Linked DNA regions of Callithrix jacchus. The main gene of each other region encodes a partner of the protein of the gene in region 2 in a complex. Links are inferred from orthologs where the notes say so. Each region holds a gene or a part of one and is shown on either strand. Other genes may lie near its edges. The genes, in order: FUZ and WDPCP.

Region 1 (2,537 bases), on a different chromosome or scaffold from region 2:
TTTAACCCTCCTCTTCTTGCGTCTCTTTGTCCACTTTTTCTCCTCTTTAATCCATCAATCTTCTCTCCTGCCTCCATCCTCTGGGTCTTCCTTTCCTCTTCCATCCCTCCCTGATTTCTACCTTTCCACCGTTCTCTCCCCCTCATCTTTTATAATTTCCCTCCTCTCTGGCTCCTCTGTTGATTTCATTCTTTCTTCTCTCTTGTGTCTTGTATCGGCTTTCTGGCCCCTTTATCCTTCTTTCTTCTATCTCCCTTGTGTCCCCACTTCCCTGGGCTCCCCATCCCTCTGAGTTCTGCCCCCAATGCCCCGACCCAGATGTACCGGCTGACCCTGCGCACCAGCAAGGAGTCTGTCTCCCGTCACCTGTGTGAGCTGCTGGCGCAGCAGTTCTGAGCCCTGGACTCTGCCCCCCGGGATGTGGCCGGCACCGGGCAGCCCCTTGGACTGAGGCAACTTTGGTGGATGAGGTGGATGGGGGACCTCCACTGGTGACAGAGAAGACCCAGGGGTTGGGGGATGCCTGGGACCTTCCTCCAGCCTTTTGTATTTTTATTTTTGTTCATCTGCTGCTGTTTACATTCTGGGGGATCAGGGGGAGTCCCCTCCCTCCCTTCCCCCCCCCAAGCACAGAGGGGAGAGGGGCCAGGGAAGTGGATGCCTCCTCCCCTCCCACCCCACCCTGTCATAGCCCCTCCTACCCCCTCCCCACCCAGGGGCTGTGTATTATTGTGAGCGAATAAAAACAGAGAGACGCTAACAGCCCCATGTCTGTCCGTCACCCACTGCTAGGTAGTCAAAGAAGTGGGGTGAGGGCATGCAGAGTGTGGGTAGCTAGGCTTCGCAGCCCATGGGTGGGACTCTGGGGAGACAGCAGCAGCAGCAGCCGCCGAAGCCCCAGCTGCAGGGCCACCAGACGCACTCCTGAGCCTGGTTCCTCAGTCCCTACCACCAGGTAGCAGGCTCTGGGCAGCTGGGCCTGGTGGAACGCATCTTCTGTCTTCTCTGGTGACCCTGGCTCTGGGGAAAGGACAGGAGGCATCGAGGTGACAAGTAGCATGCTAACTTTCGGAAGCCACACCCCATCCTGGGTCCAAGTTCTGAACACGTGGGGTCTCTGAGCACAGGCTTTGGGAGCCTCCTGCCAGGGAAGGGCTTCAGGGCTCCAGCTGGCCATCAGCAACCTGAAGACCATGACTCTTGCTCAGCTCATCCTCTTCCTCTTTCTCTTCCTTGGCCCTCATTTTCCTGGGGAAACTGTGCAGCCATGGACCATCCTCTTAGCAATACACATGGCAAACACAGCAGCAACACAGGAGCTCCAGTAGCCGCCTCCAGGAGCTACCCACCCCACTGTTCCAGGCAGGTGGAGGGAGGCCGGCAGGGGCAGGGAGAGGTGGAGTCACACAGCTAGGAAGGGGTGCAGCCTCCTGAGATGGAGCTCTTGACCACTGTGCTGCATTAATCGGGCCTCACTGGGATCGTGGTGGCATCCCAGATCCCTTCCTTTTTCTCTCTGGGGCCTTAATGGGTTCTATGACAATTTTTCCTTTCTAACCCAGAATCTGTGAAATCCTCCCCCATCCCCCCCAGCCTGTCAGCAAAGCCTGTGCTTTCGGCAGTAGTGCAGAGTACTGGACTGTGGCTATGGGAGCCAGATACCCTGTGTTCAAATACGGCTCTACCATTTATGAGCTGGGCCTCAGTTTTCTCATCTGTAAAATGGGAATGATGGGATGAAGTAATTTCATTCTTTTATTACCTATAAAGGCACTGGCCAGAGGTGAGATCTCAGTACTAATTATTGTTAACTATGACCCAGGAGGTTCTGAAGCCAGGCAGGAATTTCCCTTCCCCTCCCTTCTCCAGGTCAATGCTCAGATCTCAAGGAAAACCACTGCCCCATGGCCCAGGCATGCTGGGTTCCTCCGGTTCCTCCAACCCCACCTCCTACTCCCACTTTGTGCCACCTGGGACTCGGTGTCCTGCTTGCGCAGTAGCACTGTGCCTGCCGCTCACCTGGTGGGAAGTGCGTGGAGGTGACCAGGGTGTAGAAGTTTCGGAGGAGGCGCCGGCGCTGTTCTGGGGAAGGCTCTGCGGGGAGGAAAAGGCAGTGATGCAGAGCCCCTCCTCGGCCCGCGCCCCTCCTGACCCTGTCCCTGCCCTCAGTCACCTTTATTCCCCAAGGGCTCCACAGTGAAGAGGCAGCGTTTCAGTTCCAGATGGAGGAGCAGCAGCCTGTGGGAAAGGGAAGGGATGTCATGGCTAGGGAAGAGGACATGATCCCCAACACAATCCCTCCATCCGAGCCCTACCCGAGGATGTCTGTGTGGAGTGGGAAGCCACTGGGCAGCGCTCGGGGTCCCAGCGGCAGGCAGGCCCGCAGCGGGTCCAGCAGCGGCTGCCACCAGCGCTCCAGAAGCTGCGGGGGGGAGGGGGGGGTGTGGTCATGGGAAGGCGGAGCCGGCGGGGGGCGGGGGGAAGAGGCACGAAGGGGCGCGGTCAATCGGGAGGGGTGGGGCGTACACGAAAAGAGG
Region 2 (3,827 bases):
TAAAAATTTTTTATGTTTGTTTTTAAGTATGCACCCAGTCATTACAGTATATCATTGCTAATAAATAATTAGTTAAGATAACTCTGTAAGCAGCAATATTATAGTAGTATCTTGTATCCTAAAATTATGATGTTATATTCTTTTTATTTTTAACTAATACTCACTGAGTACCGAAGTATGGGCCATGCACTAGGCATTTTCTCATTGTAAAAATACTAGAATTTTTTGGCTGGGTGCAGTGCTCAGCTGTAATTCCAGCGCTTTGGGAGGCTGAGGCAGGTGGATCACCTGAGGCCAAATGTTCGAGACCACTCTGGGCAACATAGTGAAACCTGTCTACTAAAAACACAAAAATTAGCCAAGCGTAGTGGTGCACATCTGTAATCCTGGCTACTCAGGAGGCTAAGGCATGAGAATTACTTGAACCTGGGAGGCAGACATTGCAGTGAGCCGATATTGTGCCACTGTACTCCAGCCTGAGCAACAGAGCAAGATTTGGTCTCTAAATAAATAAATAAATATATTCAAAGTTCCTTAGTTAAATTTTGACTACCTCCTAAAAGCACATTCAATTAATATTAAATAAATATTTACTGTGGGCCATGTGTGACTTCCTGGATACAGACTTCCTGGAAGAGCATGTTCTTACTAATTATTCTTCTCTAAAATTACTAAAATGAAGATTACCTACAGAATTCTATCTAAACAACTTTTGTATTTTGGCAATGTAATAAAGTGGGATAAGAAAAATCTATAAAAATGCAAAGAAAATAGAAAAGAAAAGCTCTCCAAGTAAAGATCTTTTGACATATTTCCTGTTCTTCCTATCTTATAAATGACCTAGGGACAGTTTCTCATTGGCCATGATTTTCCACCATTAATGTCAATGCTTACCACAAACATACGTAAGATGCAAATGTTAGACTGCTTAGGTGTATTATACATCGAGTAAATAACTTATAAGAAAAATAAGACTAGATAATTGGCAAATATAAAGATTTATTTCATTATTGTATGTGTCACAGCATTCCCCAATGCCCCCATCCCCTGACCTTTGTTTTTTTTTCACTTCTCTTTTAAAATTAAACATCTTAGATCTCTATGGACAAAATTACTTATTGGGCAAAGGTAAGGAAATTCAAGCAGGCAGAAAAGAGAAGAGTGTCAGAACTATAAGTCAGAATAAGGAAAATAAGAAGGAGCAGCCTGGGCTGCAATTCAGATACACAGAAAAAGTAAGTGTTAAGGACTATTGTCTGGACAGAGGACTTGGGTGTGAGAAAAAAGAACTGATGTCTGATGTGAGTGAGGAATGAAAGACCTTTGTTGGGTGCCCTTTGTCTAGCAGATCTCAGGGAGTACATAAAAATTTTGGTCAACGTTTGAACTATGAGCACATTACATCCTTGATCTTAAGATAGAATGGTACAATGACTACACTGTGAGTTCCAACATAAGCATAAACAGAAAAGCTGTTTTTTATGTTGACAAATACTATACAATAAGTACCATATGGGAGCAATCAACTGTTATCTGATCCTTTGAGTTTTACTAGAGCACTAAAGTAATCTCCAATAAAATAATTCAAAAACAACCTTAAAAAATAACCAATTTAATAAAATATATTTCATGTATATACAAAATACATCTAAGTAAAATATTTCAAGCCTGACCTTCTCTCTCTGGAGTGAGCTTTTGTCTAAGAAGATGGTTTACAATGGCGCTCATGCTGATAAAGCACTGGTGGCCCAGAGTGTCCCAGTTCATGCTGCTCAGGATGTTTATTGCCTCATAGATCTTATCACAGTGAATGTACTGGAAAATGATATCTACCAGGCCCAGCTGTCCTTGAGTGAAGACACCTGTCACAAAACATGGAAAACCAAGTGAATCTCTTAAATAAAAGTAGGAAAACAAAAAGTTAACTTTTCCATAAAGAAAAAAACCTGCATTGCTTGCATAAGTGCTAGAAATGTGGGACTGATCTCTTTCTCAACTAATATCTACTATAAGATACACTGGTACAACACAAACGTATCTATTGATCCCGTCAAAATGAAAGAAAATTCACTTTTACTCTCATGAACATGAGCATAAAACAAAGGTTGGGGGTAGCAATCTGTTCTGGTTTTATAGACTTTTAAATATGGCTGACCTCATTTGAAATTAATCATTTCTGTCTATTAAATGACAATAAGTATTAGAGCTGTTAGGTGTTTTACTTGTTTTTTGTTTTGTTTTGCTTTTAATCTTTTCAAAATTGTAGGTAGGCTATAAAATCTTTTTTTTCTTCACTGTTTACTGATTTAAAGTATAAAAAACTTCCTCTCAGTACAAATAATCATAAAAGAAAATGAGAAATGTGAAATTACTTTCTAAGCTGCAAAGTATTATAAAATATTACTGTATTTCTTTTTATTACTATCATTATCATCATCATCATTTAACTGGAATAGTTACAGGCTTCGGGATTTTTAAAAATGTATTCATTTATGAGAAAGATGTTAAAATTCTTCATACTAACTTCAAGTCGCATGAAAATGAAAACTTGTACTAACTATTAACAGGACTGAACTTGATAGGGAATCTGGGGAATTGCCCTGACTGTACTAAGCAATAAAACTTTACTATTCCTTTTGTGTTGGTAGAATCAAAGAATGTGACTGTCCAAAAGCCTTCATGAGCCTGCAATCAAGCATTGGAAGTCCTCATAAATCAGGGTGGTTCCTTGGCAGTAGATATTAATGCACAGGAACTTTACAGGAAACCAAAAATATCTGAAGTCTGTTGACTCTACCTATACCCTAAGTAATGCTTCTACTAGTAACAAGAGAAAGAACTCATATATTAAGAAAAGCTAACATATAATAATAAAAATCACTGAAAGGTGATAAAGAGAAAATCTTAAAAGGCAACCACAAGAAAAAAAAATACATTGGATGTACAGAAAAGCAAAGGCATGAATGATTATAGACTTTCCATCTAAAATTATATAATCCAAAGGAAAATAACAAGACATTTTTAAACTACTGAGAGATAAAAAGTAAATTAATCTAGAATTCTATACCTTTATAAATATGATTCAAAATTCATGAAGAAAGATTAACAATCCTTAAATGCACCTAATAACAGAGCTGTGAAATAATAAAGCAAAAATTGACAGAATTAAAAAAAAGAAAAAGCTAAATCTAAAATTATAATTGGTAGCCAGAAGTGGTAGCTCATGCCAGTAATCCCAGCACTTTGGGAGGCCAAGGCGGGCAGATCACTTGTGAGCACATGTTCGAGACGGACCTGGCAAACATGGCGTAACATCATACACAAATTAGCCAGGCATGGTGGCAGGTGACTGTAATCCCAGCTACTCAGGAGGCTACAACAGGAGAATCACTTGCATCTGGGAAATGGAGGCTGCAGTAAGCCAAGATTGCACGACTGCACTACAGTCTGGGTGACAGAGTAAGTCTGTTTCAATCAATCAATCAATCAATAAAATGATAATTGCAGATTGCTTCACTTTTACTAATCAAGAGAATATGTAAGCAAAAAAAAAAAAATCATTGAGTAAAGGAAATACTTGAAAAACACTATCAATGAATGTGACCTAAGTGACATTTATAAAACACTGCACTGAACCACAGTAATACACACATTCTTTTTAAATGCACACAAAACATTAACCAAGATAGAGCATATTCTGGGGTAATATAATAAAGCTAAATACATTTAAAAGTTTTAAAATCATAAGAGCATTTTCTCTGACCAAAACAGAATTAAATAGCAATAACAGAAAAATTATCTGGAAAATCTCCAAATATTTAGAAGTT

Evidence for each region.
Region 1: the proteins of WDPCP (region 2) and FUZ are in contact, whole or in part, in a cryo-EM structure (PDB 7Q3D), measured with the Homo sapiens proteins. The link is inferred for Callithrix jacchus from reciprocal best matches to the Homo sapiens genes WDPCP and FUZ. Residues at the interface, in NP_056994.3 of Homo sapiens: Arg55, Ile57, Asn75, Lys78, Leu82, Glu418, Asp419, Arg420, Leu421; in NP_079405.2 of Homo sapiens: His293, Glu372, Glu373, Pro374, Arg379, Gln397, Pro399, Thr400, His401, Gly402, Ser405, Leu406.

What each region holds. Positions count from the first base shown.
Region 1 is NC_133523.1:43,582,670-43,585,206, forward strand, and holds the end of FUZ (protein fuzzy homolog), read right to left. Parts: intron 2,423-2,537; coding exon 2,316-2,422; intron 2,239-2,315; coding exon 2,174-2,238; intron 2,095-2,173; coding exon 2,020-2,094; intron 1,258-2,019; coding exon of another isoform or gene 1,241-1,257; exon of another isoform or gene 1,021-1,240; coding exon 797-1,020; 3' UTR 513-796; downstream 1-512. Other genes in the region: AP2A1 (AP-2 complex subunit alpha-1), read left to right, coding at 319-396. UniProt on the Homo sapiens protein: Probable planar cell polarity effector involved in cilium biogenesis. May regulate protein and membrane transport to the cilium.
Region 2 is NC_133515.1:50,655,971-50,659,797, reverse strand, and holds part of WDPCP (WD repeat-containing and planar cell polarity effector protein fritz homolog), read right to left. Parts: intron 1,863-3,827; coding exon 1,674-1,862; intron 1-1,673. UniProt on the Homo sapiens protein: Probable effector of the planar cell polarity signaling pathway which regulates the septin cytoskeleton in both ciliogenesis and collective cell movements.